Linked DNA regions of Daphnia pulex. The protein of the gene in region 3 interacts with the protein of the main gene of each other region in a pairwise test. Links are inferred from orthologs where the notes say so. Each region holds a gene or a part of one and is shown on either strand. Other genes may lie near its edges. The genes, in order: cyclin-dependent kinase 14-like, cyclin-dependent-like kinase 5, cyclin-C-like and cyclin-dependent kinase 1-like.

Region 1 (4,024 bases), on a different chromosome or scaffold from region 3:
CACATATCCTTACAGCCTTGACACGTCATCAAAATGGCCGCTCATTTTCCAATTCGACCCAAATTTTCGACATTTGAAAGTCAATCGGAAATGAATCGGCAGAATTTCGATTTAATTTTGACGGTTTTTTCCAAAAGGAGCGTGACTCTAATCTTCCTACAGCAGCAAAGTCATTGTAATATAAAAACGTCACACGTTAAGACTTTTCTTTAATGAGGAAATATGAATATGACCGGGACTTAACAAAAGGAATATAACGACGGCGTGACTAAAAAGCTGCGGGTGGATTATTTATGCATTTCTCATCTCTCTACTTTGGTCGAATAAGAAAAGTTTCAATCTCACCCGCGCCTAGCGAACCATCAGACTATATAATAGTAGTCTGCCATACAACCATAAAGTTTGATTTATTTATATACGTTATAGAGCATTTGCGGGATGATGGGCTCCAGGGAGGTGTGTCGTCTATTATGGAATGGAAAAAGAGGGGGGGGGGGAAATATCACTCACTCACGACTGACACACACGACCAGAGCCAGCCACACCCTTTGAGCGATAGTCGTGTGTGTGTACAAGCAAAAGGTGAGTCGCCCATCACAAAAGGCGACAGAAAACCTTTGATTCCCAGCCTGGCTAGCACCACCAGTGTTTATCCAGGACACAATCTACTTGAAATCTATCGGCCATGGGAAAAGTTAATGAGCATATCTCTATACTATATAGCGCAGCTCATAGAAAGTTTCGTGTATTTTATAGATACCTTTTGATCTATTATTCATAGCGTTTCTATTGTATTAGCAAACACAATCGATGAATAATAAAGCACGACTACACAAACTCGGCTTGAGTATCATTATTTTTTGTGTATTTTTTTTCAAGGTGAAACTCCCGAAAAGAACCAGTTGTGTGACTCACAAAACATTTCTGGAATAGTTGGGAAAAAAATTTCATTTCGTGCATTCGCCTCGGGGGTGACATTAAATTTATGTAAATACTAACTCGTTTGGTCAAGATTTCACGAGGTAAAATTAAAAAAAAATGGAAAATATACATCTAATGTAGAGTAGTAGGTTATCTCTCCTGTTGTAAAGCCAGTTTTCTGTTGTTGTCCTTTTCTCTAACGGATCGATTTGACAGATGATCATTTGCCAAACGTGACAACGCTGTGCTTTAAAACACTCCCCCTCTCTTTTTTCTTTCTGCTGTACACACACATCAGAGAGAGGCTCACGGCATTATACACACACACACAATACTAGAAACATGGCTGCTTAGCACACACATACACACACTGTCGTCCGATTTTGACAGATACCACTCGTTAAAGTTGCACCAGTCTGCGTGAGAAAGTGAGCAGAAGGTAACGAGAAATCGGTGGCGATTTGTGAGGGACTTGCGCGTTCGTACGGAGCCCGCGCTCTGTTATCTTATCGGGCTTTGATTTGGCTTCCAAGTTTAGATTCGATCGCGGCCCCCTCCCACATCCTACTACTGCCCACTCGATCACGACTCGCAACCGCCCAATTTTTGTCGTCTGAGCTCCTTTGTGCTATCGGCTCGTGTGGGATATTCGCGACGAAAAGGGGAGTGCAACCTTAGCAATGACCACCATATCTCAAGTGTTGGCCAATCTCTACGTCACCATCAGTTGCTCATAGGAGAAATGCAGGTGCTCGGTCAGTGATCCGCCTAATACCCAAGAGTTTCCTCATTCCAGTTCGACATGTCGGAAACCAAGAACAAGCTCAGCAAGGTGGCCAGGCTGAGGAAACGACTCAGTGACAGCTTGGGCAGGCTGGCCTGTAAGTGTTTGCATCACCTTTTCCCCCCGTTGCCTCTTTTAATTTCTTATCTCTCTCTCTCTCGACAGCTCTGGCAAAAGAAGACTGGTCCATCAGCCGAACAAGATCTCAGACCAGACTCTCTCACATGGGCTACCGCAAGGACCACAACGGACTCAGCATGAGGGGCAAAGCAGGTTTCTCTGACGAGTATCTGGACAAGCTGGACAGCGAAACCAGGGACTCGCTGCAGGAGAATGGTGATGCATCTGGTGGGCAAGGTGAGCCAGACCTCCGATGGGAGAGGCTACGACTAAGTGACGGAGATTTGCTCAGCGCCAGCCGGGATCCAGAATTCGAAAAATTGAAGGTATAATTGAATCTAAAATTTGTTTTCCCCTGTTCCATTTCTTATGTTATTATTTTTGTATTAATGTCGACAGGGTTCTGGTGGTGCCGATTCCGGTTTGGGAAGTGACGATGCGTGTGCTCAAGATACCAGCAGCCGAATTGCTACGGTTGGAGGTGAACAAGTGGTGCTGAGACGTAGTAAGAAATCGTCCTCGTCCCACCTGAAACAGCGTCCCAAATCGGAGGTTTACCGACACCAGCCCATCGACCCTCACCTGGCCGGAGCCAGTGTCGTCCTACCCAGCGCATCCGCCATCAATTTGAAACCCTCCGAGTCTATTCGTCGCTCCAAAAGATACTCAGCCTTCGGGGTGTGTATTCAATTCATCTTTTTATTTTCATCCGTTCCTTTTTCTGCTTTTTATATGTTTCAAACTTTCCCGCCTTAATAGGGAACCAGTCCGTTTGGCAAAATCGAGAATTACCTACGACTGGAGCAGCTAGGCGAAGGCTCTTACGCCACCGTCTACCGAGGATTCAGCAAGTAAAAACTTTGAGTCGAGTTATTCGAAAATGTTGGTGACATTTCTGACCAATTTGTTTCTTTTAATTTTAGTTTGACTCAGCAAGTGGTGGCGCTGAAGGAAATTCGTTTGCAGGAAGAAGAAGGTGCTCCATTCACGGCCATCCGTGAAGCTTCTCTACTTCGTGACCTGCGTCACGCCAACGTCGTCACCCTGCACGACATTGTGCACACGAAAACGTCGCTAACGTTCGTCTTTGAATACGTCGTAAGTCTCGTCATTTGGCACATTCCGTTTGAATCGATTTTAATTTTTCTTTCTCTCGACAGCATTCGGATTTGGCTCAGTATCTGGAGAGGCATCCGGGCGGATTACAGGCTCACAACGTCCGTTTGTTCCTGTTTCAGCTCCTGCGTGGCCTCTCGTACGTCCACCGGCGCAAGATCCTCCACCGGGATCTCAAGCCGCAGAATTTGCTCATCAGCGAAGTCGGCGAACTCAAATTGGCCGATTTCGGGCTGGCCCGCGCCCAATCGGTTCCGTCGCACACCTTCTCAAGCGAAGTCGTGACCCTCTGGTACCGGCCGCCTGAAGTCCTACTCGGCTCAACGCAATACTCTTCGCCGCTGGACCTCTGGGGCGTTGGCTGCATCTTTGTCGAGCTCCTGACGGGCAGTCCGGCATTTCCCGGCGTCAAAGACGCTGCCGATCAATTGGAAAGAATCTTCAAGGTAAAATTTTTGCTCAATTTTGTATTAATTGACTTTGTTGATGAATTTTTGTGGGTCTCACAGATTTTGGGGACGCCGACGGAAGCGACGTGGCCGGGCGTGTCCCGTCTGCCGCTCTACAAGCCGCAGCGCTTGAACTTTTACCGGACGCAAAGGCTGGGCCACGCGTTCCCTCGTCTCTACGACATTAGCCAGGCCGAGAATTTGGCCTCGAAACTGCTCCAATTGCAGCCCAGCACCCGACTGACGGGCGAAACGGCCGTCCGGCACAAATTCTTCCAGGAGCTGCCCTCGCAACTATTTAACCTGTCTGACGGTAACAAAGAATTTAGGCTCCTTCTTATTCTGTTTTGAAATAATTTCAACAACCTTTTGAATTGTTTTGATTATTATTTTAATAGACGTGTCCATTTTCACGGTCCCGGGCGTCGGTCTCTACCCGGAAGAGCGGAAATTCCCTCCTGTCGTTCTCAGAGCGGCCCAGGAGTTGAAAAACAAGGCCAAATTTTAATTATTTTTTTAAATAACTAAAACACAAAACTAAAAAAAAAATTAAGAAAAAGAAAATTTCAGAAATGAAATTTTTATTTTCATTTCCTTCCTTCCTATCCCGAAATCCGTTCCATAATAGCCGCCA
Region 2 (4,001 bases), on a different chromosome or scaffold from region 3:
AGATGTTGACAGACATGTGGTTGTCTATAAAAAAGAATTTACTCCAGGCCCAGATGAATTAAATGCTTACAGAAAGGGTATACCATGGAATCCAGATTCAGTCAAACAGGTATATTTCAAAGCTATTATTATTCTGAGTGAACTAATAAGGAATTGATCTTTTGTAGAATCCCGAACCTGAAGATGAGGAGGACGAGCAACCAGCTTCAAAAAGTGACAGTACAGTATCGTCAGCTCAATATGTTAACAAATACGATCGGTTAATCGGTAATTTAAATTAAGCACAACAAAACGCCCTACGTACTAAATTTTGACATCTACTAGGTAAAGAAGCAGTAAAAGATGCTGTTAAAGTTACTCAGGTAAATCGAAAATACGGTTTTGTTTCATCCGAGAACAAAAAAGATCAACGCTCCATCGAGCAAACATTGGCCGACATTCGTGCCAAAAAAAGGCAGAAGACGGAGTAACTTCACCAAGAGGATTTCTCCAACATCCGCATGTGAATATTAGTTTACCATTCGAATTATGTATTGTATTGGACTGCAATTCAATTTGACTAACCACAATCCTCTAAAATGTACGCGCAAGTACAATGTGTTCACGGTAAAGAAAAAAAGAATCGATAAAAAAGGAATTTGCTCGATATAAAAAATATTCTAGAATCATTTTGTTTGGGGATACAAAATTTAAGTCTTACAATTAAAAATCAAAATAACTTATAGATGTTTTATACTTGAAGGTAAATCGGTAAAATAGTAATGCGCCATCGCGTCATCTGCAGAAATCCGAAGAGCAGGATTGCACAGTAATAATTTCTATGGAATTCAAAAGGGAAGTCAGAAAAAAGTTGAGAAATATCAAAATTATAGTCAATACCTGAAGTAAATCTCTGCCTTTGGGACTCATTTTTGGAACAACTTGCGCGAAGCTACTTGTTGGTTGATAGATGGGTAATGGCTTGTAGTCTGGCAGTTGAGATATACCAGGCCAAACTTCTTCGTTTGGAGTTCCTATCGATTAATTTAATTATTAAATAATTGCCCTCCGTAAACCACTTTAGAATTCCGTACCAAGTAACTTGAATATCCGTTTGAGTTGGTCATCAATATCGCTTCCAGGAAAAAGGGGTCGCCCCGCGTTGGCAAGTTCTAAAAAGAATGAGAGATGTAATACTGATCACGAAATTGAATAGGACAGCAAACGTTACCAGCAAATATGCAGCCCGCAGACCACATATCAATGGAAGTAGTATACAGCTTGGCACCAAATAAAACATCGGGAGGTCTATACCACTGATTTTTACAAATTGTTAGATATGTTTGTAATTTTTAGAATTCAAATTATTATGTATATTACCAGTGTAACAACCTCAGCCGAATAACAACGGACAGGAATACCAAATGCTCTTGCTAAGCCGAAATCTGCAAGCTTCAGCTCACCGTTCTAAAAATAAATTGATTGTAAGTGAACGCAAATTTTTAAATACTCATCCTAAAAAAAAGGGTTAATATCATCTGGGTAAGCTAAAAATGCCCCAAAACTTAAACATTACCTTATTAATCAACAAGTTTTGAGGTTTGAGATCTCTGTGCAAAACATTTTTACTGTGGCAGAATGCAAGACCTCTTAAAAGTTGATACCTTCAGACAAAGGAGAAAATTAATTAACAGCAAATTTTTTGTGCACAAAATGGATGTCTTACATCAGTGATTGGACTTGCTCACTGTCTATCTCCCCATTCAAGCTATCAAAGTATTTCTTCAAATCCTGGTCACAGTGCTCAAATACTAGGGTTAACTTTGTATCACTGTGGAGGACATCATGTAATCGAACCTGTTGGTTATTTAGAAATGTGCTTAGTATAGAAAGTGTACAGAATTGTGCTAATGAAAGAAAAACTCTCACTATATTACGGTGCTTAAGTTCTTTCAATAAGCATATTTCTCTTAAGGCACTTGATGGAACCCCCTATGCCAGAAAAATGAAATAAAATGAAAAGTGCTTGGTGTGATTGATCAATAATATAAAGTGACATACCTCATCATCATCATCCTATTATTGAATTTTTCAAATAAAAATGGTTAGTTTAAAATAATCATATATAAAGAAATGTGTTATATACTTACAAGCCTGACACGTTTCAGAGCCACAATTTCCTGATTTTCTCTATTTTTGGCCTTAAACACAGTACCATATGTTCCTATTGAAATGTAAGAAAGTGATGGAGATTAATTCCTTGCTAATTTCACTACACACATGTGAAACGTCTGTATGCTTTTAATCCTCAGTGTCGGTTGGAAAACAAACATGTACGGGAAAATTACCTTCGCCAATTTTTTCTAATTTTTCATACTTCTGCATTATAGAACAATAAATCCCGTTGATTCTCGGGAAACTCTTAATCAACTTAAAACAAAATTAAAACACTCTCGCAGTCGCACTCACAAAGCGTTTTTGTTTTTGTTTTTTTATTGTTATGGCAGACGCCGGCAGGATCAATCTTGACAGTTTCTATTGAGACTTGCAATTTCCAACGCTAGATGGCGAAAGATTTTCGTCTGCAATATTACGTCTGCTCATGTTGTCACTTTTTCTTTTCAAGTGGTCAGTTCAAATTTGTTCTCAGTTTCGTTACTTTTGCACTAATTAAATAAAAAAGTTACAAAAGTTCAATTAAAATTCTTCTAAATCTAATGTTTATGAACTGTGTTGGACGATTGGCATCCTTAAGCCGTTTTTTCTTCTTCAAGGATTTTAAATTTTACATTTTGCAAAATCAATGTGTGCGATGGGTGAAGTAGCTGAAATAGCTAGGAAAGTTCTCCTTCCCCCCGTCAAAGTTATCAACGAACGAAGCCACTTCGAAAAAGGATTTCAACGTGAATGGTCAAGTAAAGTCGATGACGCCGTATGTGAATTACAAAAGCTAGTTCTGAATGGTACCTCCGTAACAAAAGAAGAGTGGACCAAAAACAATCTAGCTTTATTGTCATTACTCATCCTGTGCGGTGAGCACAGTATTTGTTCTGAATGGAGTACTCAGAAATCAGTTGATAATGTGAAAGATCTCCTTAACCTTTTGCTCTCCAAGCTTCACCTCCAAAATATTCAGGATATATTTGCCATGGACGGTGTTGCTTATTCCACTCTTCAACAGCTTAAACCGAAGCTAGGGAAAAACCAAATCAAAGAAAACCCTGCAGCAGTCAGTTGTTTTGTTTGGATTATCAGCAATACTATGGTATCAAAAATTCAAATGAAAGTTATTAAACCTTAAACTTTCACAATTCATTTTTTTAGCTGCCTTCTATTGATGAATCGGTAGATTTTGCTGTGCCTGTTTCTTTAGTGTTATTCGATGATTGGGAACCAGATTACCAGAAGAAAGGCCTAGAGTGTCTTCATCATATATTAAGTGTATGGATAAAAGAAATGTCTTCCAATTTCGGCTAGTGTTGCTAATAATGCCCTTGTCATTTGCACAGCTCAACCCAAAATCTCTGCTCCAACGAGGATGGTTTGCAGTCATATTTAGTGCTTTAAAGAAAAACGTTGAATTCGATGACAAGTTAAATTTGTACAAGTGCCTCGACATCTGCCTCAAAGCTCAGAACTTGGATCCAGATGATCCGTCTCAGTGGAATCAAGTTAGCTATTTTCTCGAGTTATTTAAAGTGGCAAAAGATTTATAACCAATTTTTTAGGATGACCAATACGATTCACTCGCCAGCGATGTGTTAAAATCCATGATAATTCAAGATTCACCATCTGCCACGTCCTGCAATCTAAATATTTTAATATTAATTTTCCATTCTATGAAAATCAAAATGGCAAAGTTTCTTCCGTCAATAATTTCTGTATTGGACAACTACGTCACTGTTGGTGTTTCGCCCGAAATTCACGTTTTATCAGCTGAGGTACACAATTTTAGTTTCATCGTTTATGTCATCGAGGAATTTGAGAAATTCCTTAATTTTAAGTTATCGTTGATCTATTTT
Region 3 (3,452 bases):
AAACTTGTAGAAAATAATTGTATATTTTCTTTTTTATCTAGGTAAACATGAAAATGCGCAGAGAAAGATTCTTGGACGTGCCTCTTTGCGCCACTGATTGTGATGATTGGTTCAATGCTTGCAAGGATGATTACACATGTACAGACAATTGGACATTAAACTTCAAATGGATTAATGGGACCAATCACTGCCGACCTGAATCCGAATGTCGCACCTTTTCCGATATCTTTCAAAACTCATCTAATTTTTGTGAAAGGGTAAACAGTATTAACATTCTCCCTAGAATTTTGATTACATTTTTATTTTCTAAAAGGTTTGGGATCATTCATGGAAGTATACCAATAATTCAGAGCCCTGCATGCGTATTTGGTTTGACGGTGATCAAGGCAATCCTAACGAAAATATTGCACGATGGAAAATCCAACAAAGTAACAGCGCGGAAACGTTTTCAACGAAGCCGCTTACATACGTACTCCCCGCCTTGATGTTGTTTCTAAACTACTAGAATAGAGAAATTGCGTTCTCATTTTCATTGTAAAAGAAAGCATGTATTAAATAGTTGATCATAACACAGTTTTTTTTGTGTTTTTCAGTTTATAAAATGAGAATGATAATGATAATCAATTTGTCACACCCATGGACTGGTCATTTGTGCCCTGTATTCCATCCTGTGATTGTGCTGACGAGGGAGGCCTACATAGTTATCACAGTGTATTAAACAATTTTAAAATTTTATTCTTTGCAATGTGATCAAATAAGAAAGAATTGGGATCTAAATAGGAAATTGAATATCCTACCGACTTGGCTGCGTTTTGGGTTTAGGCATTTTGGCCAACAAACCCTGAATTTCTTTTTTCTCGTCGTAGGTCTTGTAGAGATCGTACAGAGCCAGAATTTGACGCGTTATTTCTTGAATTTTATCCGTATCGACGGCAATTTCCGCAAACCAATTTTTCCCGTCTTTCTGAAGCACAACACAAGCCATTTGCATGGCAGCTAATACAGAAGAAAAGAAAGAAATAAATGAAGTAGAGTTCACATGATAAAAGACAAAAATAATTCAAGCTAACCCAATGCAATTTGGTAAGGGGGGTACAGAAGAGATATATCAGTTCTTAGGCTATCATTGACTATTTTCCATGACAATCCAAGAAGATCTTCTTGCCCAATGTCTTGAACAAATTGGACAAGTGGTCTGTGTGGAAATTTCAAATGAAAACATTATTACATTATGCTTTAAATTTTCTCAGAAACAGTTGATCACCTGTAAGGTTGGTAAACAACTAGACAGCAATCCATGTTTTCCAATAAATAAAATTCACACTCAAGGATGTGTTGTGCTCTGTAGGGAAACTCTTGAGGATAGGCATAGTTGAACTTTGACTTGACTGTTTAAGAAGTTGATTGAATCACAATAACAAATTTTGTCTTATGAAAAGATCACATACCAACTGATTGACATGTTGTGATTAATCTGTTGTTCGAAATTACACCAAACTCTTCGACTTTTGAAGCCAACAGAATGCATGTGGGGGCAAGTAGCAGTGGATCAATGCATTTCAAGGAATTCCTGGCATAAAACCGCTTGAAGTAAACTGTGGCAGTCGCTATGACTTGTTGTTTGAGTTTCAAATGCTCACCAAGAACCTGGATGACTAACATGAGAAAGACACTTTTATTATTCAACATTTAGGAGATGATTCCATAGTTAATATAAACTTACAGTTACTAAAGAAGATGAAGAGTTTTTGATAGTCTTCCTCCGTGACGATGGCGAAATCCCCTTGGCGTTCTCGAACCAAATCAGAAGGGTCTAGTAGCCACTGCTGACTAATAATAAAGTGAGTAATTAAATGTGAATCAAAACGTTAGACAAATAAAAACTAACCAATGCGAGCTTTGCCAGAAATTCCCAGCCATACTCTGCGGCCGAGGTTTAACTTGTTTACTGTGTGTAAACGATGCTCGACACTGTTAGGTTAGACGACGTAAGGCGGCGCTTATTAAAATGTCGCCGTGCCCGGATTTTCTAACATGGAAGCCTTTTCGCACCCGAGCACGCCAATAAACGAAAGAAAAGAAAACATCGTGATTTACTGATTTAGTGATTTGTGAACGATCGTATTCGTGATTTTGTTCTGTTTTTTTTAAAGTTTTATTAGCGTTCAACAAAACAAAACATTGCATTCCATTTGGTTTTAATTAATTAATTGTAAACTTATGACTTACTGTATGACTGTTTTTGAGTGATTAGGATGATGACGCAATGAGTTACTTTGGTTCGACGTAAATAAACATGATTTAATATTTTTGAGACTCATTACACAGCGTATTTGTTTACATATTATTGTCGCCTAACGAAACGTTCATAACACAATGTTTGTTACATTTTACAAAGTTACAAACGATCCATGAATAATTGAGTATGTAAATTTGGCTACTAAACACGAAGGAATTTGACCACTTGTCCGTTTTACAACAACGAGAATCATGAGTACATCAGGCCGAAAAGAAATGCGTTGCAAAAAAATAAGAAAATACAAAATGCGGAATGGACCATTGAGTAAGAAAACAGAGATGATACAAAATATGTGTGGGCTATATGACGATATGGACAGTCAGAGAGAGTTTGAATCCCGTGGCATCGGCACGAACGAAAAATACAATCAACATTCAATGGAGCCTATACACAAGACATGAAAATATTTTAATATCATCAACACAACCGATGGGGGGAAAAAATCATGTGACATATCTCCCGCATCAGTCAACAGCAACGATGGACAGGCCAAGAAGCAGAGGCATCCTGCATGAATAAAGAGTGTAGCCCCCGTGAGAATTGACTTGAACGATTCTTGGCATGCGTCCGGCGTAACGTGAAAAAACAAAAACTATTTCAAAACGTGCCGTCGTGAATTTTTACAAGTCCGTGACTTGTTGCTGATCCGGCGGGATCGTTCGTTGTAGGTAGTCGTCGTTGGAGAGGTCGGTGGAGTTGATTTGCCACTCGATAGGTGGCAGCTCCAGCTGATAGATTTTACTGAGTCGCTGTCGATCGTGCGGCTGGATGGATCCAGCTCTCGATCCGATTCCGGTGGCCATTTCCACCGAGCTGAGCGAGCGCTCCATCGCCCACTTGGAGCAGGGGACGTAGCGGAGCAAACGGGCGAAAGCCAGTCGGAAATCGCGGTTCTTCCATCCGTAAATAAATGGATTCAGGGCTGATTTCCCGAAATACAAAATCATGACAACCTGCCGAAAACAAACGGCAACATTGAGGAAAAGAGTTGCGTGTCGGTTACACAACAACAGCTCGGATAAAGAAAATTAAACTGTTTAGCATGTTTAGATCCGGGTTGAGCCGGTTGTAAAATTATCACGGTTTTTTCCCTATTGTTATACATGTTGTTTACAGGGGATTTTAAATTTTGCCACGCACCCATCTAAACGTA
Region 4 (3,473 bases), on a different chromosome or scaffold from region 3:
GATAGCATGCTATGACCCAGAAACTATTGGATGTAATTATAATAGAAAATGTGTATGTATACTGGGAATTAATCTTTGATTGTTTTTCAGTAAATGCCTGCCAGAAAACCAAAACCTCGGTTAAACGTCAAGCGGGCATCGCTTCGGATCTTACTCAGATTGTTGAAGCCTCGCAGCAGATGGAAAACATGCTGGACACTATCTTGGCTTATGTTGACGACGTAATGAGTGGCTCCAAAACGGCTGACAACACGTTTGGTCGTTCTCTATTAGATATGGTTCATTCGGTACCTAAAATGACACCCGACGAATTTGAAGAGATGCTTAATTCAAACCGAAAGGTAGAAAACATTACCCAATATTTACTTATTTAATCTAATTTTTGTAAAACTTTATTAATTTAGGATTTATTGATGGTATTATATCTATCACAACTTACCAAGACTCAACTGTCGCTGAACGAAAAACTCACATTGTTGACAATTTAATTCAGAACGTTGATATAAAAAATAAAAATGAACATCTCCCAATTAAATTACAATTTTCTGATGTAGTCCTCGTGAGCATATTTATTAGGAAACTATAGTATACAGTCACACGTACACAAGGGGGAAGAAAATTTCTTCGCTACCAAGGAAAAGAATCACACCCATCTTCTCTCAGAGAGCAAAAAAAATGATGATTAGGAAAAGCGAAAAACAGAATTTCAAGAAACGACCATCAGGAAGTTGGCCAGGTTTAGTAGCTATCGTTTACATGAGGAATGCTTAATTAAGCAGGCACATTGGTGGGTAAGATAGATTTATCCAGATCGGTAAACCAAGCATGATCTAAAGCATCCTGAGCCGTGATACGAAGGGCTGGATCGTAAATGAGAGTTTTTTGAAGCAGATCAAATCCAATCGAGTCAAGTTGCTTCACGGAATTTTGAAGGTGGTAAGTATTCCAATTAGGGAAAGTAGGTTTATAGTCGGGCATTTTTGAAACGCCTGGCCACATTTCCTCCGTGGGCGTCTTCATTACTCTGTGTTTCAAATAAAATAGGAACAAATGTAATTTTAAAAATAAAAAAAAAAGGACAAGTAACACTACCGGAAAATACGGTAAAGCTGATCAATTTCCGAATCTCCTTGGAACAATGGCTTTTTCGTTATCATTTCAGCCATAATACAGCCAACCGACCACACGTCTATGGGGCACGAATATCTTGATGACCCAAGCAATACTTCAGGAGCACGGTACCATAGAGTAACAACCTTCGTGAGTTCAAAAGAATTTATAGTATACGTCCATGCATTGGGAACCTTCTTTCCTTTACCTCGTGAGTGTAGACACGAACGGGAACTCCAAATACGCGCCCAAGACCGAAATCAGCTATCTTAATAATTCCGTTTTTATCGATGAGTAAGTTCTGGGGCTTCAAATCTCTATGCAAAACTCGACGTCTATGACAATATAAAATGCCTTCCAAAATCTAGAGGGAAAATATAAATCAGGCCAATATATAAATGAGTCCTAAATCTTCTAAGCAAACCTGGTGGCAATAAGACTTAACAAGAGTTTTATCCATCAACTGCCCAGTTGGAATGCTGTCCATGTACTTTTTAAGGTCCATTGACAGGAACTCAAAAATTAAATACAGCTTTCCTTCTTGCATCAAAACATCCTCCAGACAGACGATATTGGGATGTAGCAGCTCTTTCAAAAGTGATATCTCCCTGATGGCTGTCGAAGGAACACCATCATCTTCATTTTCAAGCCTGATTTTCTTCATGGCAACAAATTGTTGAGTCTTACGGTTTTTAGCCTTGTAGACAACACCATAAGTACCTTTGCGAAACAAAAGTTTTAAAATCAGTTCAAGTTACACAGCTTAGTGTACCAGGGATCATTACCTTCACCGATCTTTTCTATTTTGGTAAAGTCTTCCATTGCAGAAGGCATCACTATTGTTTGTTAAGAAACAAGAACAAAAACCAAAAAGTGTGAAGAATTGAAATCTCGGGAAAGTAACGGAAATTTGAAGTCGAATGGCAGCAAACAAAAACTGGAGTGACGTATTCTTCGTATTCCACCTGCAAATCAGATTGTCATCAATTGATTCGTAAGACTCTTGCATAAAATATTTCGTTACACGATAAACAGAGAATAATCTAACAAAGTAAAGAAAGTTCGTACCCAACGTGTTTCCACAGACTCGACTTTAAAGGAAAAGGTGAGCACACTTGGATGTCAAAGAGACGGTGGCGGCCGTTGGACTAAGGAATGTAACCGCCAAATTTTGAAACGACTTCATCACTTCACAGAATCACGGCCCTCTATGGGTGATAATCAGAAACCCATTGGACAAAATGGATGTATTTGACGAACCTACTATACGATTTCGAATTTGTTATAGTTCTTTTAAACTTTTTTAAGGTTTTGAATTAAAACTCAAATTAAAATAACAAATTCCCGCTGGTGATTTCAAGTTATAATTGTCTATTAGTTCGAATGACGCTAGTATTATGAATGAATAAAAACCCATACAACTTATACAAGTTTGAAAAACTCATTAACATTATCGATATTATTTTTAAATATCATTATATTTTAAATGAACTGTTTATTACCACTATAATCGAAACATTTTTACCGGTAGACTAGAAAATATTTCAGCTCAAAATTTCAGCACAAAATAATTTCTAAAAACATTGTTACCCGCAAGGCAAGCCGTAATGCAGGAATGGTCAAGTATTATTTTTAAGAAAGCCGTGCAAGCAGGTAAAAAAATCTTCTATAATTTCCGACATGTAATTTTCGAAAATATCTTACTAAAATTGTGAAAACTCTTAAAAATTTAGAAAAGAACACTTAAAACAGATCAAACAATTTAATTTACTCTTCCTCCGAATTTCAGTGAGGTAGCAGAACATGTGACAAATATTTTTAGTTACAAACTTCAGAAATGATGGAATTGTTTTACAAACGAATCTGTAATGGCATTAAAAGACACAAAGAACAAAAGAGCCGGCTGCCTTGGTCTTTCTATTCTACTATAAACGGATGATCCTGGTGGAATTTTTCATGAATGAATAGTTCTTCGTACGGCACCCATACTTGTCCAAATATAGCCAGCTTCTTTTTCACTAGACACTCGAACATTTTCATCCAGTTTGTAATATTCGTTCGGCGCATGCATTACGAAATCAAGATAATCCAGCTTACGTGGCAATTCTTCTTCAGGACCTAAACCAAGACTGTTTTAATGCTGTACAGAAAAAAAAATATAAAATTCACATACCTAAAATATATGTCTGTGGATCAAATCCCACATCTGGGGGTGGTGAACTTTGAGTTGGGATGAGCCAAGTTAATACAGCACTTTTTTCACAAAATTGGTCTTGCAGAAGCCCACGAATTTGTGCATAATAAACTCCATCATCTTCATCTGTGACTGAAACTATGTCCCCCACTTGATAATAAATGTCATG

Evidence for each region.
Region 1: the proteins of cyclin-C-like (region 3) and cyclin-dependent kinase 14-like interact in a two-hybrid assay, tested with the Drosophila melanogaster proteins (2 studies listed by BioGRID). The link is inferred for Daphnia pulex from reciprocal best matches to the Drosophila melanogaster genes CycC and Eip63E.
Region 2: the proteins of cyclin-C-like (region 3) and cyclin-dependent-like kinase 5 interact in binary tests that used the Drosophila melanogaster proteins (3 or more experiments, as listed by UniProt). The link is inferred for Daphnia pulex from reciprocal best matches to the Drosophila melanogaster genes CycC and Cdk5.
Region 4: the proteins of cyclin-C-like (region 3) and cyclin-dependent kinase 1-like interact in binary tests that used the Drosophila melanogaster proteins (3 or more experiments, as listed by UniProt). The link is inferred for Daphnia pulex from reciprocal best matches to the Drosophila melanogaster genes CycC and Cdk1.

What each region holds. Positions count from the first base shown.
Region 1 is NC_060026.1:753,726-757,749, forward strand, and holds the start of cyclin-dependent kinase 14-like, read left to right. Parts: upstream 1-1,182; 5' UTR 1,183-1,723; coding exon 1,724-1,802; intron 1,803-1,870; coding exon 1,871-2,151; intron 2,152-2,224; coding exon 2,225-2,503; intron 2,504-2,584; coding exon 2,585-2,676; intron 2,677-2,748; coding exon 2,749-2,923; intron 2,924-2,985; coding exon 2,986-3,387; intron 3,388-3,450; coding exon 3,451-3,703; intron 3,704-3,788; coding exon 3,789-3,898; 3' UTR 3,899-4,024.
Region 2 is NC_060026.1:15,917,759-15,921,759, reverse strand, and holds cyclin-dependent-like kinase 5, read right to left. Parts: upstream 2,508-4,001; 5' UTR 2,365-2,507; coding exon 2,328-2,364; intron 2,204-2,327; coding exon 2,130-2,203; intron 2,056-2,129; coding exon 2,041-2,055; intron 1,972-2,040; coding exon 1,909-1,971; intron 1,837-1,908; coding exon 1,706-1,836; intron 1,644-1,705; coding exon 1,556-1,643; intron 1,447-1,555; coding exon 1,360-1,446; intron 1,296-1,359; coding exon 1,211-1,295; intron 1,152-1,210; coding exon 1,074-1,151; intron 1,014-1,073; coding exon 880-1,013; intron 819-879; coding exon 720-818; 3' UTR 514-719; downstream 1-513. Other genes in the region: sperm-associated antigen 7 homolog, read left to right, coding at 1-109, 168-267, 325-470. UniProt on the Drosophila melanogaster protein: Probably involved in the control of the cell cycle. Interacts with D1 and D3-type G1 cyclins. Possible regulator of neuronal differentiation and/or development.
Region 3 is NC_060017.1:5,572,577-5,576,028, forward strand, and holds cyclin-C-like, read right to left. Parts: upstream 2,049-3,452; 5' UTR 1,921-2,048; coding exon 1,889-1,920; intron 1,831-1,888; coding exon 1,724-1,830; intron 1,656-1,723; coding exon 1,449-1,655; intron 1,389-1,448; coding exon 1,265-1,388; intron 1,196-1,264; coding exon 1,071-1,195; intron 997-1,070; coding exon 798-996; intron 694-797; coding exon 621-693; 3' UTR 527-620; downstream 1-526. Other genes in the region: folate receptor alpha-like, read left to right, coding at 42-257, 314-505; adenosine receptor A2b-like, read right to left, coding at 2,920-3,252. UniProt on the Drosophila melanogaster protein: Component of the Mediator complex, a coactivator involved in regulated gene transcription of nearly all RNA polymerase II-dependent genes.
Region 4 is NC_060026.1:11,477,867-11,481,339, reverse strand, and holds cyclin-dependent kinase 1-like, read right to left. Parts: upstream 2,330-3,473; 5' UTR 2,179-2,329; intron 2,076-2,178; 5' UTR 1,945-2,075; coding exon 1,896-1,944; intron 1,831-1,895; coding exon 1,535-1,830; intron 1,475-1,534; coding exon 1,319-1,474; intron 1,257-1,318; coding exon 1,093-1,256; intron 1,025-1,092; coding exon 772-1,024; 3' UTR 552-771; downstream 1-551. Other genes in the region: eukaryotic translation initiation factor 3 subunit F-like, read left to right, coding at 1-32, 91-341, 405-488; GATA zinc finger domain-containing protein 1-like, read right to left, coding at 3,065-3,228, 3,284-3,473. UniProt on the Drosophila melanogaster protein: Plays a key role in the control of the eukaryotic cell cycle. Required for entry into S-phase and mitosis.